2 linked regions of the Macaca mulatta genome follow. Each later gene encodes a partner of the first gene's protein in a complex. Links are inferred from orthologs where the notes say so. Each region holds a gene or a part of one and is shown in the gene's direction. Other genes may lie near its edges.

Evidence for each region. The genes of interacting proteins can lie anywhere in the genome.
Region 2: the proteins of ACADM (region 1) and ETFA are in contact, whole or in part, in a crystal structure (PDB 2A1T), measured with the Homo sapiens proteins. The link is inferred for Macaca mulatta from reciprocal best matches to the Homo sapiens genes ACADM and ETFA. Residues at the interface, in NP_000007.1 of Homo sapiens: Pro163, Lys173, Pro211, Gln232, Arg235, Glu237, Val251, Glu253; in NP_000117.1 of Homo sapiens: Arg223, Lys226, Arg249, Asp253, Ala283, Ile284, Gln285, Glu304.

What each region holds. Positions count from the first base shown.
Region 1 is NC_133406.1:164,849,141-164,859,861, reverse strand, and holds the start of ACADM (medium-chain specific acyl-CoA dehydrogenase, mitochondrial), read left to right. Parts: upstream 1-5,595; 5' UTR 5,596-5,957; coding exon 5,958-5,987; intron 5,988-9,573; coding exon 9,574-9,661; intron 9,662-10,721. UniProt on the Homo sapiens protein: Medium-chain specific acyl-CoA dehydrogenase is one of the acyl-CoA dehydrogenases that catalyze the first step of mitochondrial fatty acid beta-oxidation, an aerobic process breaking down fatty acids into acetyl-CoA and allowing the production of energy from fats.
Region 2 is NC_133412.1:54,428,708-54,439,258, reverse strand, and holds the start of ETFA (electron transfer flavoprotein subunit alpha, mitochondrial), read left to right. Parts: upstream 1-3,765; 5' UTR 3,766-3,829; coding exon 3,830-3,868; intron 3,869-10,551. UniProt on the Homo sapiens protein: Heterodimeric electron transfer flavoprotein that accepts electrons from several mitochondrial dehydrogenases, including acyl-CoA dehydrogenases, glutaryl-CoA and sarcosine dehydrogenase.

The sequences.
Region 1 (10,721 bases):
TTTTTTTTTTCTTAACTACTTATATATTTCTCTCTTTCTTTCTTTCTCTCTTTGACTTCCCTTTTGCCTCTGTCTACTCCTCTCTCTCTGCCTCTGTCTTTCTCTCTCTCTCTCCGCCTCTTTCTCTCTCTCTCTCTCCCCACCTCTCTCTCTCTCTCTCTGACTCCCTCTTTGTCTGTCTCTTCTTCTCTGTCTCTTCCACTCTCTCTCTTTGCCTCTTTTCCTCTCTGTCTCTTTCTTTTCTCTCTCTCTGCTGGTCTTTCCTTGCCTCTGCCAGCTGCTTATGCTGCTGTTCTCTGAACCACTGTGTGTTGGGGGAGGGGGATCTAAAACAAGCTGGTCTGGGTTCCCTGGCTTACAAGTTACCTTGTGCCATACCTTTGAAACAAGGGATCTGTCCACGCTTCCTTCTAACGGCCAACCTACCTCTAATGCTGGCCAGTCTATCTTACACAAAGTTTTAAGTTTTCCTGGTGTCAGAGTACTCCATAGTCTCCCTTAAATCCTTTTTTTGAAATTTTTCAACATAGCTCCTAGTGCGTTGGGCTTACTTTGTGCCTCACCTATGTTTCCTCTAGACAAAACACCACGCTCACACCACACGCACACCACAAAACAAAGAATGGGTAAAAAGGGCACACACACACTTGTGTAGTTTACACCAAACCAAAATCAAAACCAAAATCAGAGTATCCAGAAATCCAAGCCAGGGCAAAACCAAAACCAAAGTATCAAGCAATCCAAGTCAAGTCAAAAACAAAAACCAAAGTGCCGGTACAGGCACACAGTGGGCGATCAGGCCACACTTCCACTCAAATGGAGTAGGTAAGTTCCCAAAACCAATCCTATCAAGCAATTCAAACCAAGTCAAAACCAAAACCAAAACCAAAGTGCTGGTACAGGCACACCATGGGTGATCAGGCCACGCTTCCACTCAAATGGAGTAGGCAAGTTCCCAAGACCAATCCTGTCAAGCAATTCAAACCAAGTCAAAACCAAAACCAAAGTGCCGATAAAGGCACACCGTCGGTGATCAGGCCACGCTTCCACTCAAACGGAGTGGGCAAGTTTCAAAGACTAGTCTTACCAAGTTTTAGATGTCCAGACTCCAAGTGCCCGTTCCTTCCAGGTGTTCAGCCACTGCGTTGATCCTCCACGTGGGCCTGCCACACACTGCTCTGGTGAAGCATCCCACTGGGGGAAATGCCTACCCGGGAGCGCTCTCAGGATCCGCGTTGCTCGGGCTGGTCTGAGTCCCCTGAAGGGATGTTCCACAGGGCAGGCTTAAGCCGCCTAAGGAGCTGCCTTGACCATCCACCATTCACCTTGCTTCCCGGTCAGGGAACCAAGAAATGTAGCAGAACGAGCGCAGACAAAACTCCTCAGACACCGAGTTACAGAAGGAAGGGGTTTATTCGGCCGGGGGCATCGGCAAGACTTTAGTCTCAACAGCCGAGCTCCCCGAGTGAGCAATTCCTGTCCCTTTTAAGGGCTCACAACTCTAAGGGGGTGCATGTGAGACGGTCGTGATTGATTGAGCATGCAGGGGGTATGTGACTGGGGGCTGTGTGCACCAGTAATTAGATCGGAACAAAACAAGATAGGGATTTTCACAGTGCATTTCTATACACTGTCTGTAATCTATAGATAACAGAACCAATTAGGTCAGGGGTCGATCTTTAACTACCAGGCCCAGGGTACGGTGCCGGGCTGTCTGCCTGTGGATTTCATTTCTGCCTTTTTGTTTTTACTTCTTCTTTCTTTGGAGGCAGAAATTGGGCATAAGACAATATGAGGGGTGGTCTCCTCCCTTAGTGAAATGTCATCAGTTAAGGCAAGGACCGGCCATTTTCACTTCTTTTGTGGTGGAATGTCATTGGTCATGGCAGGGCAGGGCATTTTCACTTCTTTTGATTCTTCAGTTACTTCAGGCCATCTGGGGGTATTCGTGCAAGTCACAGGGGATGTGATGGCTTGGCTTGGGCTCAAAAGCCTGACACTCTCCCTGCTGATCATGTCTAGCTAATCTCCCAAAGCCCAATCCCTTCTACAAAACAACTCCTTTCCTTCCTAGGCATGGTTAGTGCGGTCAGAATTCGTACACAAGAGTTGGGACCGTGTCCTGTAGCCTTTCTGTCCAAGCAACTTGACCTTACTGTTTTAGCCTAGCCCTCATGTCTGCATGCAGCAGCTGCCACTGCTTTAATACTGTACCACGTCCTGTAGCCTTCCTGTCCAAACAACTTGAACTTACTGTTTTAGCCTAGCCCTCATGTCTGTGTGTAGCAGCTGCCACCACTTTAATACTGTTAGTGGCCTTAAAAATCACAAACTATGCTCAACTCTCTACAGTTCTCATAACTTCCAAATCTATTTTCTTCCCCCAACCATCACTCAAGACAACGCTTATGTTGATAAAGTAACTAAAAAGCAGCCATCAAAAAGCATCAGATTCCATCGCTCAGGACAATGCTTATGCTGATAAGTTAGCTAAAAAAGCAGCTAGCGTTCCAACTTCTACCCCTCACAGCAGTTTTCCTCCTTCTCACTCTCACCTACTTCCCCACTGAAACTTCCACCTATCAATCTCTTCCCACACAAGGCAAATGGTTCTTGACCAAGGAAAATATCTCCATCCAGCCTCACAGGCCCATTCTATTCTGTCGTCATTTCATAACCTCTTCCATCTAGGTTACAAGCCGCTAGCCTGTCTCTTAGAACCTCTCATTTCCTTTCCATCCTAGAAATCTATTCTCAAAGAAATCACTTCTCAGTGTTTCGTCTGCTATTCTACTACTCCTCAGGAATTTCTCAGGCCCCCTCCCTTTCCTACACATCAAGCTCAGGGATTTACCCCTGCCCAGGACTGGCCAATTGACTTTACTCACACGCCCCAAGTCAGAAAACTAAAATATCTCTTAGTCTAGGTAGACACTTTCACTGGATGGGTACAGGCCTTTCCCACAGGGTCTGAGAAGGCCACTGCGGTCATTTCTTTCCTTCTTTCTCGGTTTGGCCTTCATACCTCTATACAGTCTGATAATGACCAGCCTTTAATAGTCAAATCACCCAAGCAGTTTCTCAGGCTCTTGGGATTCAGTGAAACCTTTATATCCTTTAGCATCCTCAATCTTCAGGAAATGTAGAATGGACTAATGGTCTTTTAAAAACACACCTCACCAAGCTCAGTCCCCGACATAAAAAGGACTAGACAATACTTCTACCACTTTCCCTTCTCAGAATTCAGGCCTGTCCTTGGAATGCTAGAGGCGACTGCCCATTTAAGCTCCTGTATAGGCACTCCTTTTTATTAGGTCCCAGTCTCATTCCCGACACCAGCCCACCTTGAACTGCACCCCAAAAACTTAGAGCCTAAAAACTCACCAACCAAGCAAGTAATTATGCTGACTCCCCCCCCCTTAGGCTCTCTCTAATTAGCTGTCCTAGGTCCTCCCAATTCTTAGTCCTTTAATACCTGTTTTTTCTCCTTTTCTTATACAGACCTTGTGTCTTCCGTTTAGTTTTTCAGTTCATACAAAACCGCATCCAGGCCATCACCAATCATTCTATGTGACAAATGCTCCTTCTAACAACCCCATAATATCACCTTTTACCACAAGATCTCCCTTCAGCTTAATCTCTCCCACTCTAGGTTCCCACGCCACCCCAATCCCACTTGAAGCAGCCCTGAGAAACATCGCCCATTCTCTCTCTCCATACCACCCCCCAAAAACTTTTGCTGCCCCAACACTTCAACACTATTTTGTCTTATTTTTCTTAATATAAGAAGGCAGGAATGTCAGGCCTCTGAGCCCAAGCCAAGCCATCGCATTCCCTGAGACTTGCACATACATGCCCAGATGGCCTGAAGTAACCAAAGAATCACAAAAGAAGTGAAAATGCCCTGCCTGCCTTAACTGATGACATTCCACCACAGAAGAAGTGAAAATGGCCAGTCCTTGCCTTAAGTGATGACATTACCTTGTGAAATTCCTTTTCCTGGCTCATCCTGGCTCAAAAGCTCCACCACTGAGCACCTTGTGACCCCCTACTCCTGCCCTCCAGAGAACAACCCCCCTTTGACTGTAATTTTCCTTTACCTACCCAAATCCTATAAAACGGCCACACTTCGCTCTCTTTTCGGACTCAGCCCACCTGTACCCAGGTGATTAAAAAGCTTTATTGCTCACACAAAGCCTGTTTGGTGGTCTCTTCACACGGACGTGAATGACACCACTTTGACGGCTTTCTTGCCTCTACCAGGACAAACTCAGTTCTTTATCTCTTTTCTGAATTTTCCTGGTACTTTTACTCTGAATATACTGCTTAATTAACATTCTGCCTTGTACCTAGGACTAACACACTAAACTCCCAGAAGACAAAGTAGGAGAATACAATAACAGGATATAAAATTTTAACAGCCAAGTTAGAATGAATTTATGGCTGACCTTTATTGGGCAAAAGAAAATGTTGTTAGTGTAAGATTTAGGGGTGTAGTGACCAAGGCGTAAACTAGGATGGCAGCAATGAAAGGGAAGAGTCCCGAGTAACATGGGAAACATTTACACTGCATGTTTCACATGTCCGTGTGAAAAGATCACCAAACAGGGTGTGTGTGAGCAACATGGCTGTTTATTTCACCCGGGTGCAGGCGGGCTGAGTCCGAAAAAGGAGTCAGCAAAGGGTGGTGGGATTATCATTGGTTCTTACAGGTTTTGGGACAGGCGGTGAAGTTAAGAGCAATGTTTTGGGGACAGGGGGTGAAGCTCAACAAGTACATTCCCAAGGGTGGGGAGAATTACAAAGAAACTTCTTAAGAGTTGGGTAGATTACAAAGTGCATCGATCAGTTAGGGTGAGCAGAAACAAATCACAATCCGTTAAGTTATTTTCACTTCTGTGGATCTTCGGTTGCTTCAGGCCATCTGGATGTATACATGCAGGTCACTGGGGATATGATGGCTTAGCTTGGGTTCAGAGGCCTGACACTGAAGGCTTGCATTTGGGCTTTTATTAGCTTTAACAACGAGGTATCTAAACCTGGACAGTTTCACAAACACCCATTTTAAAACATTCCAGCTACCATCTCAAAACTCTCTCAAAACTCAGGGTCTTACTGGAAGAGAAAGTGACTCCACCTAGAATTCCTCAGGGAGACATTCACTTCCATCATTGGCTGACCACGAGCTTTAGACAGCCTCTACTGCACCCGCATACCAAGGACACCACATCCACATCAGCCCACAAGTCATAAATAGCCTTGGAAATACGTGGAAAGGTCAAATTTACGTAAGCAATTAAATTCTCTTTTAAATTTTAAGGAAACACAAACATGCCTTTGCTTTAGTTAAGGCATTTGAGAGCAAAATGTATTAATACTTTGAATCCGCCAAGCAGACACAATCTGGGTTTGACCGTTCTCTGCGGGTGAAGGTGAAGGCTGAGCACGGGGCCGCTCTCCTTCCAAGTCCCAGCCGCGCCCTCTCACCCAGTTTCCCATCCTGCACCGTGCCGCACGTCCCCCACCATTCAGCGCCACCCGGCCCTCCCAGCCCCGCCCCGTCCTTCTCCTCCGCCCTGGCTCTCTCTCCGCGCTAGTATCAGCCTCGGCGTCCCACAGAGAAGGCAAGACGTGGGCAGGCAGAGAACCAGACCAGGCTTATCAGGGATTGCCGGTAGAGGGGATGCAACCCCTCCCCAGGTCGCACCCACGACGCAGGCAAGGGTCATGGAGCATGCGTTGAATACCCCGGCCGGCGACCGCTCCCACCCCGACGGCTCTCACCCGGCCTGGCGCAGTGCCCCCTCCTTCCGCTGCCCAGCCGCCTCTTCCCGCCCCGCCCCGCCCCATCCCGCCCACGGGCCCCAGTGGGCGGGACCAGCGGAGTCCGGCGCTGGGGGAGTCTGTCAAGGCCGTGACCCGTGTAATATTGTCCTAGTGGCCGAACGGGAGCCAACATGGCAGCGGGTTTCGGGCGATGCTGCAGGGTGAGAGAGAGCCCAGCGGTGCGGTAGGGGCAGGGACATGGATATTGTGTGGGAGCACGGGGCCCTGGACCAAAAATAGGTGCGGCCGGGAGGAGTGGGAAGTCGGGTTGAGGAAGGAGCTTGCCTGCCTAGGGGTCCCCACCTGCTTTCACGCCTCCTACCACCGGACGGAATGTAGCCTGGCGTTTCATTTTCCGTATCCTCCCGTCAGCCGACCCCGTTATAGCCGGCATCCTCTCTTTAGAATATCGTTTTTCTTTCTCTGGTAAACCCTCCAAATATTTACCCCGGGAATCCCACCTTTTCCCGAAGTGACCCGGTCTCTGTGTCAGAACCACGGGAAAAATGAAAATGGAGCAGCTACTCCTTGAGATACTTAATATGTTTAGTAAGCTTTTCGTTGTGTAATATGGTGGAGGACGCTTCCACGTTGCTTACTGGGAAAAAAAAGTAAAAGAAAAAACCTACCGCAGGATTTTATGTGAACTTGTCTGTATATTCTAGTATTGGGTCTTAACAGATTCTAAATAAGTTTGTCATTAGATGCACTTTGGTATCTTAAATATTCTTGACATGTTCACACGACTGCCATTTAGATGTCACTTAAAATTAAGTTAAAGTTATGTCTTTGACCAAAAAAGCTGAGGTTTTAGAATAATCCTAAAGAATTGCTGCCCATATTTTACTGCTGTTATTCAAGTTAATGTGCAGTGAAGGCAGAAATTGGGGGATTTCAGCTATTTTTAACTCCAACACCAGAAAAGCAGATTTCTGAACCTTCCAAGGAAGGATCTAAAAAAAAACCTGATAGAGAAAACGTATACCCTTTTTCTCTTCTTTAACCCATAAAACTAACACTTTTATATTCCCAAGAAATGCACAAAAGTGTTCAATTCTAATGGTGCTATTTCGATATTTGGAATTTCATTGTTCTAGACAGAGAGCCCGAGGTAATAAAACCAATATTTATATAGCATTAGGCTTTCAAAACATTATCTTACTTTAATCGTTCAAAAATACGCAGTGAGATTAGCACCATTTTTCGGTTTTGAACGGAAGCTATAAGCAGTTTGTAACCTGTCTACGGCCATAAATATAGTTGTGGAACCTAGATTCAAATTCAGCAATTGTAACTCCAGATCCCTTCCTATTTCTGTTTTCTATTTGTAAACCACCTCTCTAACTGGCTAACTTTGTTGTGTAATTAACAGGTTGATGGACATTGTATTCTGGTAATAGCAACCTTTGCACTTTGTTCTATGTAACATATTTTCCTGAACAGTCACATGTGAAGTGACTTTTTCCCTATTTAAAGTCTCTCGGTTGGCCGGACGCGGTGGCTCACGCCTGTAATCCTAGCACCTTGGGAGGACTAGGCGGGTGGATCACTCAAGGCCAGAAGTTCAAGACCAGCCTGGCCAACGTAGGGAAACCCTGTCTTTACTGAAAATACGACAAATTAGCTGGGCATGGTAGCATACGCCTGTAATCCCAGGAGACTGAGTTTGCAATGAGCAGCGATCTCCCCACTGCATTCCAGCCTGGGTGACAGAGGGAGACTGTCAAAAAAAGTCTCTCAGTAGACCATTTAACCTGGTTTGAGTTCTGACTTTTGTGCATGGGATTTAAAAACGCATTTATAATAGTCAGTTTTTTGGTTCTGATTTTTGCAGAATGTTTTCCTTTGTTATGAAACCTAGTGACCAATTAGGATACTAACAGAAAGATGAGTATAGCAAGGTGGTTAATAGCATGGGCTCTTGATAGTAAATGTTAGAATCCTGGTTGCACTAATAGTAGAGTGACTTTGCCTAATTTAGTTGACTTTCTGAGCCTTCGTTTCTTCACATGCGAAAATGGAATAAAAGTAATAACTTAATCCTAGACTTGACCTAGGATTCAGTGAATTAACCTGTGTAATGTGACTGTAAATCAGAGTAGATTTGGTCTGTGACTGCTGGACAATAAGGACCAGAGAAACGGTTTCACTTTTTTTTTTTTTTTTGAGACGAAGTCTTGCTCTGTCACTCAGGCTGGAATGCAATGGTGCAGTTTAGGCTCACTGCAACTTCCGCCTCCTGGGTTCAAGTGATTCTCCTGCCTCAGCCTCCCGAGTAGCTGGGACTACATACCACCACACCTGGCTTACTTTTGTATTTTTAGTAGAAATGGGGTTTCACCATGTTGGTCAGACTGGTCTCAAACCCCTGACCTTGTGATCCACCCACCTCAGCCTCCCAAAGTGCTGGGATTACACGCATGAGCCACCCCGCCTGGCACTGTTTCACTTTCAAAATAAAATGAATGAAGTTGCAAAGATAATGCGAGTTTTCATACTCTGTGTGTGTGTGTGTGTTTTTTAATTGTAGTATGAGTTATGTTATTTTGAAAGCGCTGTTTCAGTTACAAATATTTGATACTCTTAATTATATTGTCACCTTCCATGTAGGAAATCCTCTGTATAAGTTGAAATTGTCATCTACAAAGACAGTTTCTTTTTACAGATTTTGAAAAACATAAGAATTTAAATGTAGAAACTTTAGTATATTCTTCAGCTTCTCTTTTCTCTTAGTATCTCAGCTTGTTAAAATTGCCAGATAGTTCAGTTAAACTCTTTTACAGTGAAAATTGTGTAATTTTGGCTGTCCTGACACCTTTATACAGGAACACCATTGTGGTTCCCAGTTTGGCGGCTTTAATAAATGCAGATTTTTACTTTTGTATCCATTAAGCTGTCATGAATATAAAAACGGGTTGCAAAACAATAATATATGTATATTTGATTGTTTGTTTCTTTATATGTTCCTTTGAAGAAATATGAGTGTATTTCACATCCTAAGACAAGAAATGTATTAGTAGTTTAGAACAGGGATGGCAAACGTTTTTTGAAAAGGAGCAGATAGTACATGTTTTTGGCTTTGTGAACCATATGGTCTCAGTGGTAACTACTTAGATCTGCTGTGAAAGCAGCAATAGACAGCATGATGTGGCTGCCATAGTTTGGTGACTCCTTGCTCAGAACATTGTAAGAATGCCTGTAGACAGCAGAAAATACAGAACATGGTTTTATGCTAATTTGTTTTGTTAGAGTGGGGTATCCTAAAAAATGAGATCCTCTGAGGGGAAGGTTCCCAGAGGCATGCATGGGAGGCTCACAGGGACAGGGTATCAAAGTTGATGGACTAGGCAACTCTTGAACACAGTATGTTCACTTTCCACCTATCGTTCTTCCCACCCCAGCTCTCCAACCATCAAAGTCCTAGGAGCTTATAAGATACCCAGAATAGTGGTCCTACATCTACTAGTACCCTTGACTGTTGTTTGTCCTAAATCCTCCACTTCAGTAGTGTAAATACCACTGACTTTATTTTCATTACTTTTTAAAAACATCTCCTCTGTCATAGGAGTTTATATAACTGGTAATTGACTTATTTAAATTATGATTGAAGGCATTTAAATAGTGATGACTTTAAAAACTATGAGTATGGTCAAACAAGTTGTTGTACTCACTTACAATTATGAGTAGTCTCTTATCTGATTAATGTTTAAGTTATCAAATTTATTTTAATAAAACTGTTCTTTACAGGTCCTGAGAAGTATTTCTCATTTTCATTGGAGATCACAGCATACAAAAGCCGATCGACAGCGTGAACCAGGATTAGGATTTAGTTTTGGTATATGTTCTGTTCTATCTTTTGACTTTAAACTTACACATAAGAAGCTCTGTCTATGTATTTGTTTGGAGTACATTTGTAAATAAACTTAATAATGTCTTTCAATGAGTAGGACCAGTCCACCGTCCACAGATCGTTCCCAGTAACTCACACCCATTTTTCCTGATCTCATTTTCTTCCTCAGTATACTATACTATACATTAAATCTGTGTTAGTAGTATACATACACTTATATTCCTTCCTTTTTTTCTAAGTGTTTAGCCCAAAATCAATGAGATTTACTGATATATATGAATAGTCTTCAACTTATATATCTGAATGCCACAAATACATTTTAAAACACTTGTGAGATTACAATGCTAGGTGCCTGGTAATAAGCTAAAGCTTGTTTTTGCTATAATATATCCACATTGCAATTTTGGTACTATTAGGTGAAGTTCTCACTCCTGGCACCAGGGAGCCATGTAGTTGTTGTAAGGAAAAGGAATATGATTTTTCTTCCTCCCTCCTCTATAAAATGAAAACCACAGTCAAAAAATGTGAAATAATAATATCTATCTTTGGCATTCTTGGCCATCTAAAGTGCTTCTTCAAAATTTTTATTTTTTCTCTAGTTAAAAACCATTTACTCAATTCATTTGGTCTCAGAAAATAGTTAAAGGCAGCTGAGATAATCACAGCTAGGTACAAATGACAGTCTCAAAGCTCTCCAGAGTTATTGTTTGTTTTTATTGTTATGTTTTTAAAGATTTTTCCCTTTTCTTTATAAAGTTTTTTTTGGTTTTTTAACCAAATTTGATGAAGTTTTTCTTTTTCTTTTTCTTTCAGAAAAGATGAGGTTTCATTGTCTCATTATGTTGCCCAGGCCGATCTTAAACTCCTGGGCTCAAGCAGTTCTCTTATTTCAGCCTTCCAAAGTGCCGGGATTATAGGCATGAGCCACTGCACCCAGACCAAATGAAAATTTGCTGTGTTTTGTTTTTTTCTTTCTGTGACCTCTAGCCAAAGACTGAATGAAAATTTTCTTTTCTTTCTTTCTTTTTTTTTTTTTTTTTTTTTT
Region 2 (10,551 bases), on another chromosome or scaffold:
GTGCTGGGATCTGCAAGGTTAGAGGTCTTTGTCCCCAATGGGGGAATCTTTCACCAGAGGATACAGCAAGAGTCCCATTGAGCTACAAGCTACAGTTGCCACCTGGGCACCTTGTACCAGAAGACCAGAAGGGGAGTCATCTTGGCTAAGAGTAATCCACTTGGGTGCCTCTGAGTCCTCCATTGCCCAATTATGACAATAAACAGGCTTGGAAAGGGCATGCTGGTCAGGGGTTGAGATTCTCAGTTCATGAGGCAGGACGGAGGCATTAGCCACTCAGACCAGGGGAGGTGCTAGCTGCACGAGGGGGAGATTTAGAATGGATACTGAGGAAGGAGATGATGAATACCAGTTGTGACCCCCAGAGACCTGCAGCAGCTGGGGCTATAGTTTGTCCCAGGGACCTTTCTCTTCCAAGTTTCCAGCAGGAATCCTGGAGGAGTCGCTCCTGAAATTGACCTGTGGAAGAGAAAGAGGTGTTGCTCCAAATATGCTGGAATCATCTTCAAGGGTTGGCTGTGGCAGTCCTTGAATCCTTCCTCCACCCTCTCTTTTCTGCCCTTTCTTCTTTGGACAAATATTTACTTTCTTTTTTTCTTTTTTCTTTTTTTTTGAGATGGAGTCTTGCTCTGTCATCCAGGCTGGAGTGCAGTGGTGTAATCTTGGCTCACTGCAATCGCTGCCTCCCAGGTTCAAGTGATTCTCATGCCTCAGCCGCTCGAGTAGGTAGTATTACAGGAACACACTACCACATTTGGTTAATTTTTGTATTTTTAGTAGTACCGGAGGTGGGGGTCTCGCCATGTTGGCCGGGCTGGTCTTGAACCCCTGACCTCAAGTGATCCGCCCACCTAGGCCTCCCAAAGTGCTAGGATACAGGTGTAAGTCATTGCACCTAGCCCATTGGACACATATTTCTATAAATGTTCGCTGAACGTCTAAAAATGAGAACCAGAAAAATAGGCTGGGCACAGAGGCTCACGCCTGTAATTCCAGCACTTTGGGAGGCCGCGACAGGCAGATCACCTGAGGTCAGGGTTTCGAGACCAATCTGACCAACATGGTGAAACGCCGTCTCTACTAAAAATACAAAAATTAGCTGGGCATGGTGGTGGGCACCCATAATTCCAGCTACTCGGGAAGCTAAGGCAGGAGAATCGATTGAACCCAGGACGTGGAGGTTGCAGTGAGCTGAGATCGCGCCACTGCACTCCAGCCTGGGTGACAGAGCGAGAATCCGTCTCAAAAATAAATAAAATAAAAATAAGTAAATAAAAGGAAACCATAGGTCCTGCCACCAAAGCAGCTCGTAACGGAGTAGGAAAGTTGTATACCTCTAGGGAAAATCCTCTAATAGAAATGTCTTAGCACACACATTTCTCTGGTACATGATGTGGTTGTGATTGTAGAACTCTGATATCCCTTCATCCCAAAGACTCAGGGGGCATTTCATGTGTGATCAGAACAAGTCATGTGTGATCAGAACAAGGTGTCACAGACTTTGCCCATTTTCAGCCTCTCCCTCAGCTCTGACCTGTTCTACCAGGAACTCCCAGGGGCAACAAGCCTCTGCCATGCACAGCTGCTATTGATTTGCCCAAGCCTGGGAGCTGCTGAATCTGCCCAGTGGGGGCGGGGCGGGGCAGCCGCTCTCCCCTTGTGTTTTGCTTTGTCATGGGTGGGGAGGCAGGGAAGGAGGTTAGTTTGTAGCCCAGTCTTTTACATGGTTTTTAGTAAAATATCCTTTTGGTAGGAACCAAAAGTACCCTTCCCTCTTCCTTCCACTCCCATAGGTCTCAGATTCTAGTCCAGTGCGGGACTGGGTTAGGAGGCAAATACAGTGAGACATGGAATACTAAATTGCCCCTCCCACAGGCAGATTGACTGGGGGGCAGGGGTCCACAGCTCTGTCTGTAACATGAGTTCAGACATGTTCACAGTGGGTGCGACTTAAGTTTAAGATGGGTCCTCACCTCCTTGTTCATAGAGCTAGAAGAGTGAAGAAGAGGAAAGGATTAATTCATCCTGGAAAATTGAGAAAGAGCTTACAAAAGAAATGTCACTTGAGCCAGGCATGGTGGCTCATGTCTGTAATCCCAGTACTTTGAGAGGCCAAGGTGGGAGGATCACTTGAGGCCAGGAGTTCGAGACCAGCCCTGGGTAACAGAGTGAGACCCTACCCCTACAAAAAAAAAAAAATAGCTGTGCATGGTGGCACATGACTGTAGTCCCAGCTACTTGGGAGGCTGAGGCAGGAAGATTGCTTGATCCCAGGAGTTCGAGACTGCAGTGAGCTGTGATGGCACCACTGCACTCCAGCCTGGGAAACAGAGACCTTGTCTTAAACAAAACAAAACAAAAGAATTGTCACTTGATCTGGGTTTTAAAGAGGCCTGTCAGATGGGGAAGGGAATTTCAGACAGAGGGAAGAGCTAAAGCACTGGGCCCTTAGAGAGATTGTTGGTTCAGACAAAGCTCTTGCTCCAGGGAATTTACACTCCAATGCCGGGAGATCTGCAATAAACAAACAAACACGTGCATCCTGTTAGGCGGTGACAAATGCCAAGAAGAAAAATCAAACACCGTGATAGGGCATCTGGGAGTGGCATGGGTGCCATTTCAGGTAGAGAGGCCAAGGTCGGCCTTTCTGCAAATGTGTTTTTTGAGCAGAGACCTGAATGAAGTGAGGAAGTAAGCCACGTGGGTAACAAGAGAAGGGCATTTCAGGCAGAGGGAACAGCCAGAGTGCAAAGCTCTGAGAGGAGCAGGCTTGTGTGCTCAAGAAGGCCCGTGTGTCTGGGGCACAGTCAGAGAAGAGGGCAGTGGGAGGAGAGGGAGCCACCCTAGGGCTTTGAGCAGAGGTCATGATCAGTCCATCAGTTTGGAGAAGAGGCTTCTGGAAACATGGGTAGAAACATAAAGACCAGCTAGGAGGCTTTGCAATGATCCAGGCAAGAGATGACAGGGTCCTGAGTGAAGGTGGTACTGGCGGAGGAGCAAAGGGGTGTTGGAGGATATTGCTGGATTCTGGTTATCTTTTGAAGGTAGAGTTAACGGGATTTGTTGATAGACTAGATAACATTGGAAAGGTAGGTTGTTGCTGAAATGGGAATTAAGACAATTTCTGAACATACCACTTCCTTTCTTAAAAATTTCGTGATAAAGTCCAGACTCATTAGCAGTCATTTATTCATTTGCTGATTCATTCAACACATACTGATTGAATGCCTAGTGAGGGCCAGGAATTGTGCTAGGTGTCGCAGGTAGACAGAAAATTTAAAAGTAGGGCATACTTTCTGCCCTTACAGATCTTTAGTCAGATGGGTGACACAGACAAGTACTTAGGTCATTACAACCCATGTGACAATTGCTACCATGGGGAAATACAGGGGGAAATAGGGGCATATGGGAAAGGTATCTAATTGGAGTTAGCAAGGCTCCACTCATACCTTAACCCGAGATCAGCTCAGTTTTTCAGTTCACTCTAGTAATGCTGCCCATTGCGGGGCAGTGAGACAGTACAGTCTGAGCTCGGTCATCAGCGGGTGGCCAGCTTTGTCGCTGCAGCTCCGCGGCCCGGGATTACTCGAAGGTCCCCTGGGAATAGCCTCACCTTTGCCCCACTTCCCAGTCTAGCCCCTAACTTCCCGCCGTCTATTGGCTGCGCAGCCGCCCAATGGGCAGGCGGGAACCGCGGGCTCGCGCTCCCAGCCTAGGGCGTCTGATCTCGTTCGCGCGTCTCGCGAGCATTAGGTGACTGGCTGAGGCGACGCCAGTTGGCCGGGCACGGGGTTGCTGTGAGGCCGAGGTTGCGGCGGAAGCAGAGAACATGTTCCGAGCTGCGGCTCCGGGGCAGCTCCGACGGGCGGTGAGTCCGGACTGGGAAGGCGAACCCAGGGACGGTCCCCCGTCAACCCGCCGTCCCTATAGGGTCTTGCAAACGTCACCGCTCCCTCAGACCCGACCAGCCCACGCGCCCACAGGCCGGTCCCCGCCTGGGACTTGGGTCCAAAGTTCTGGGGCCTGCCCTGGACTCCTTCGGGGCCGCCAGTTCGGGGCAGAAGTCAGAGGTTGGGGGTCAGGGTGACTCCGAATGGTGTGAATTTGAGCGTCTGCTGCCCCTTCTAGCCCACTCTCTGCCCTGACGCTTCCCACATTTGTCGGTCACTCTGGACACTTTCGGGCCGCCAGGCCCTCCACACTTGCTCCACACCCGAGGGAGCAAAATGTCGCCGGGGAATGCCCTGTTGGGGACAGTTTCAAACCTGCATTCCTCCCGGAGGCCGGCATTTCTGGAAGAATTAAACACTTTGGGCGCATTGTGGCCGCTCCGACCCACTCACTGTCAAGGGCGGGGGTGGGGCGGGGGGGTGGGAGGCGGCGTGGCCAGTTATGGAAGCTGGCTCTGCTTTCTGGTTTATGGAGCAGGGCTGAGTTGAGGCGATTGTATTTGTAAAACCTGTGATCAGATTTGACAGCTTTAGCCAGTTTTGAAAGGCAGACGTCTTTTTATATGCTGCAGGCTGACCTGCTTTTAACCAGCAGATTGTAGGTTAAATAGCTTAACTGGTGACAGTGGTACATTTTCAGTGTTTCATTAGTGACAAACCACGTTTTTCTCTTCTGTTGTGAGAAGGACTGATAGGAAACATTTTTGTTCTCATGATGTGGGAGAGTACTATTTGGAGACTGACCAGGCACCAGTCGAGTAACAATAATTTATATTGTGGATTCTATAGTTTTCCAAGTTTACATTTAGGTGAAATGAGAAACAAGATTGGTAAACCTGGGTCAGAAACTTACCTGATGGTTTGTACCTTTTCTCCTTTTTTTTTTTTTTCTGTGCATGAATATTTCCCCATCCACTCCTGGGATTTTTCTCTCTGAGGCATAGCTGGAGCTCTTTCTAGATGTCTGTAGACATTAGACTTTTTTTTTTTATTTATTTAAGAGACAAGGTCTGACTCTGTTGCCCATGCTAGAGTGGAGTGCAGTGGCACGATATGGGCTCACTGCAACCTTCGCCTCCCGGGTTCAAGCGATTCTCCCACCTCAGCTTCCTGAGAAGCTGGGACCGCAGGTGTGCATCATCACTCCTGGCTAATTTTTTTTTTTTTTTTTTTTTTTTTGGTAGAGACGGGGTTTCGCCATATTGCCCAGGCTGGTCTTGAACTCTTGGCCTTAAGTGATCCACTTGCCTCGGCCTCCGAAAGTCCTGGAATGACAGGCCTGAGCTACCGCGCCTGGCTGTAGACATCTTTTTTCTTGTGCGTATTCCTTGTTTGATAAAAAGTCTGACCCTGCCTTCCCCTAAAGAGTTCAAACCCATGTCTTTCAGGTTAGTGTCCTGTCTTCCCCTCAGGACGTATTTTCTCCCATTAGGGGATCTGGATATAAACAAGTGAAAGTCATGAATTTGGGGAAATTCTGGGAACCTGAGCCAGAAGAATGCTGGTCTATGCAGCAGTTGGAAAACAGTTTTGTGGACAGATTACAAGTCTGGCCTCAGTGAAATTATAATTGTGGTGGGGGATGGAATTTAGGACTCAGTAACTTTGTAGAGCTAACAGAAAAAAATAGAATGATTAAGTAATTCTTACTATCCCCATCATTGGCTAATGTGTTAGACATTACTTCCAGATACTCATTGTGGTTTGCCAAAGACTTTGACCTTGACTTATTTTTAAAATTTGAAGTCAAGCTAAGTAGAATAGCTGTTTTAAAGTCATTAAGAATGTTGGAGAGATTTGAATTTCTAGCATAAAAGAAATGGTAGCAAGACTTCTAAAGTGAACCCATAAATTAATAGGGACATATACCTGTATTTAACTTTTTAAATTTTGAAATATTTGCACTTATAGAAAAGTTGCAAGAATAGTACAGAGAAATCTCAAAACCCTTCCCCTGGTTTTCCCATCCTGTTAGCAGTTTGACACATGTGCTTTATCTTTCCGCATACATACATAATACTATCTGTCTGAACTATTTGAAAGTATGTTGCAAATGTACCCTTTACTCCTAAATAATTCAGTGATATTTTAAAAGAACAAAGAGGTTCACTTTCTAACTACACTGTAATTGGCAATATCTGGAAGTTTCACCATAAAATACTGTTTTCTAATCTCTGGATGTTCAATTTTGCCAGTTGTCCCATTAGTACAGTTTGTAGCAGTTTTCCTTATTCTGGTCTAAGATACTCTAGATGTCAAGTGGTTATCATGTCTCTCTTACTCTGTTAGAAAGGTTCCTCAGCCTTCCTTTGGGTTTGATGACATTGGTGTATTTGAAGAGTACAGGCCTTCTATTTTCCAGACTGTCACTCAATTTGGGTTTATCTGGTGTTTCCTCATGATTGGATTCAGGTTATGTATTCTTGGTGAGAATATCACAAAAGTGGTATTGTGTTCCCCGTGCATCATATTAGGAGGTACTTAATGTTGGTTTATCCCATTAGTGGTAATGCTAACTTTAGTTACTTAGCCAATGTGTTGTTTGCCAGGTTTCTGCACTGTCAAGTTAATACTCCTCCTTTTGTAATTTTTAACTAATTTATGAGGAGATACATTGAGACTATGTGACTCTTCTATTTCGCATCAGACTTTTACCCAGTCTTAGCATCTGTTGATGATTTTTACCTGAGAAATGATTACTGTGATGCAAAATGGTGATTTTCTATTTTCATGATACCTTCTACATTTTTTAGTTATTCTACTATAAGGAAGAACATTATCTTCTTGCATATTTATGGATTTATGGATACATAGATCCTTATTTAGGATAATACATTTCTACCTTATGCTCACGTTGTCTCATTTGTATAGTGGGGCACATTCAATCTGACTCTTGTTTGTTTACATATATATGTTTATGATATCACAAAGTCAAAATAGCTTATCTTAAATCCCTACTCTTGAAATAAAAAAAAAAAATTGTTCTGTAGCTAACCATTAATACATTTAGGAAGAGGATACATTTCCAAAACCATATTAAAAAAAATAAAGTTAGGAATTATAGTTAAAGGTTACCATAAACTGTTAACAATGTGAATATAGTTAACACTACTAAACTATACACTTAGAAATGGTTAAGATGGGGCCAGCCATGATGGCTGACACCTGTAATCCCAGCTCTTTGGGAGGCTGAGGCGGATGGATCACCTGAGCTCAGGAATTCGAGACCAGCCTGGGCAACATGGCGAAACCCCATCTCTAGCAAAAAAAAAAAAAAAAAAAAAATTAGCCAGGCGCCATGGCGCACACCTGTAGTCCCAGCTGCTTGGAAGGCTGAGGCACGAGAATTGCTTGAACCTGGGCGTTTGAGGCTGCATTGAGCCCAGATAGCACCACTGCCCTCCAGCCTGCGCAACAGAGTGAGGCGCTGTCTCAAAAAAAAAAAAAAAAAGGTTGGTAAATTTTATGTAGTTTTAAAAATCACTTTGTTAAACTATTAGAATATAAGTTCAATGACTTGCATTTGGTATCTAAGTTCCATTTTTAGTTCTGACTGATTTGTGCCATTGAGTAAAGTCTTTCATCCTTGTGTGTGTGGCAGTGGTCCTTAAAGTCATCTGTTAACAAAGATAGTTTTTGTATCTATAATAAAGAGCTAGAGAACACACCGAGAGGAAAATAGGTAGGCGTTTGCAATTAGTTAATATTCTTGCAGGGATATTAATCCTAATTATTGTTATTATTTTATTAATTTGCTCTTGAAATTGATTTATTGAAGAATAAGAAGATGCAAAAAAATTTATGTGGTGAGTGAAACAACAGTTTCAAGGTCATTTGAGTACTCTTGTTACTGTGTTTATTGTCAAGTGGGAAGGAATATCAGGATTGAAAAGCTAAGAAATTGGTGTGAAGCAACATGACACTTTTCTGTCTAGTATTGATGAATAAGATTGAAGTCTGTAATTTGTATGGAAATTTTAATTCTACTGAAAGAAGAAAGAGAGCCAATTTTGGTGTGATTCTAAAAGAAAATTTATTGCATAAGGTGAATTCAGTAAAATTATGATGCCTGCCAATGTGTCTACTAAGAGTCTTGTCTGTTCTTTTTTGTTTTGTTTTTTGAAACGGAGTCTCTTTCTGTTGCCCAGGCTGGAGTGCTGTGGTGCGATCTCAGGTCACTGCAAGCTCCGCCTCTCAGGTTCATGCAATTCTCCTGCCTCAGCCTCCCAAGTAGCTGGGACTACAGGTGCCTGCCACCACGCCTGGCTAATTTTTTGTATTTTTAGTAGAGATGGGGTTTCACTGTGTTAGCCAGGATGGTCTCCATCTCCTGATCTCATGATCCAGTTGCCTTGGCGTCCCGAAATGCTGGGATTACAGGCGTGAGCCACCGCGCCCGGCCTGTCTGTTCTTAAAGTGAAGTAAATTGACTGTGTTTTCAGTATTACAGTCAATGTTATATAACATTTATGGTTATGATTAAAAACTGCTATATTTTATTACTAAAAAGATTAAAGGAAGTATTTAAAGTACAGAAATACAATATACATTTTTAAAATTACAAAATGTATGATAAAATCGGGCTAGGTGACTTTATACATTATTTATCCTTTTGGGTATGACTTAGAAAGATTTTATAGCTTATTCTTGCTGTTTTTCTTTTTTCTTTTTTTTTTTTTTTTGAGACGGAGTCTGGCTCTGTCGCCCGGGCTGGAGTGCAGTGGCCGGATCTCAGCTCACTGCAAGCTCCGCCCCCCGGGTTTACCCCATTCTCCTGCCTCAGCCTCCCGAGTAGCTGGGACTACAGGCGCCCACCGCCTCGCCCGGCTAGTTTTTTGTATTTTTTAGTAGAGACGGGGTTTCACCGTGTTCGCCAGGATGGTTTCGATCTCCTGACCTCGTGATCCGCCCGTCTCGGCCTCCCAAAGTGCTGGGATTACAGGCTTGAGCCACCGCGCCCGGCCTGTTTTTCTTTTTTTAATTAAGAAGCAAAAAAACTGGCTGGGAGTGGTGGCTCATGGCTGTAATCCCAGCACTTTGGGAGGCCGAGGTGGGCGGATCACGAGGTCAGGAGTTTGAAACTAGCCTGACCAACACGGTAAAACCCCATCTCTACTAAAAATACAAAAAATAGCTGGGCGTGGTGGTGCATGCCTGTAATCCCAGCTACTTAGGAGGCTGAGGCAGGAGAATCGCTTGAACCCGGGAGGTGGAGGTTGGAGTGAGCTGAGATTGCGCCACTGCACTCCATCCTGGGAGACAGAGCAAGACTCTGTCTCAAAAAAAAAAAAAAAAAAAAAAAAAAAAAAGCAAAAAACCCTCCCCTGCCCTCTATACCCTCATTACATCTAGTTTCCAAAGATGGTTGGGGCGGAGGTATGGGTTAAAATCATTCTTACTACTTTAGGTTATGAGTGGGTTTGTAAGGGTAGAGAGTTAGATTCCAGCTTTTTTTCTTCTTCTGGCATCTGTGGTAGTTTATGTGAATATACAGTTCATGTTACAGGAAGAACTCTAAAAAACTGAAAAGCAAAAACAATGTCAAAAATGAGGCTGACGCTGGGCACAGTGTCATGTGCCTGTAGTCACAGCTACTCAGGTGGCTGAGGCAGGAGGATCACTTGAGTCCAGGAGACCAGCCTGAGCAGCATGGCAAGCAAGACCCACTCTCTAACACCCACCCCCACAAGGAAAAAAAAAAAAAAAAAGCTATTGAGTTGAACAAGAGAAGGACCAAACTGTGTTCACTGGACTTAGCCATAAGGAAGTTTTTGGTGATTTTGGAAAGATTGGATTCAGTGTTGTGGAAGTAAAAGCCAGTTTGGGTGAGTAATTGAAAAAATGGAAGGTGAGGTAATAGAGTTGGTGTCTGTGGAAATTATTTTCAAGAAGTTTGGCTTTGAAAGGGTGCAGAGAGGGTGATAATCTCTTTAAATCCTGCCCACAAGAAGTATACTATCTCATAAAGGCCAGTCAACTTTATATGGGTATGTGGCTGGCATGAGAAAGAAAACTTCATATTTTACTATTTGCAACCAAGTCTAAACAGTATAGAGAACTTCTCTAAAAGCATGATGGGGTGTCTGTTTTAGTGATGTAACAGTTTATATACTGTTTAGTTACCCTTACACATGTTTAGATGATTACATTATCAATGAGGAAACAGTTGCTTTTTAGTTTTTGATAATTTTAAGAAAAGTTTTCATTTAGTTATTATTTATTGAGGGCCAGCTGTGTGCCAGAGAAGTAGATACCAAGTTCACAGTGGAGAACAAGACAGACCTAGTCCCTGCCCTTGTGATGCAAACAGATTGAGGAAGAAACACATTATTTTAAGTGTGGTCATTGTTACAGAACATAGAGGGTGTTTGGGAGAGGTTTTATATTGTTAGAAGGCTGGAAAACACTAAAAGGGTATCTGTGAAATTACATTTGCACACTGAGGTGCCTTTTTTTTTTTTTTTCTTTTTTTTTTTTTTTTTGAGATGGAGTCTCACTGTCGCCCAGGCTGGAGTGCAGTGGCGCGATCTTGGCTCACTGCAAGCTCCGCCTCCTGGGTTCATGCCATTCTCCTGCCTCAGCCTCACGAGTAGCTGGGACC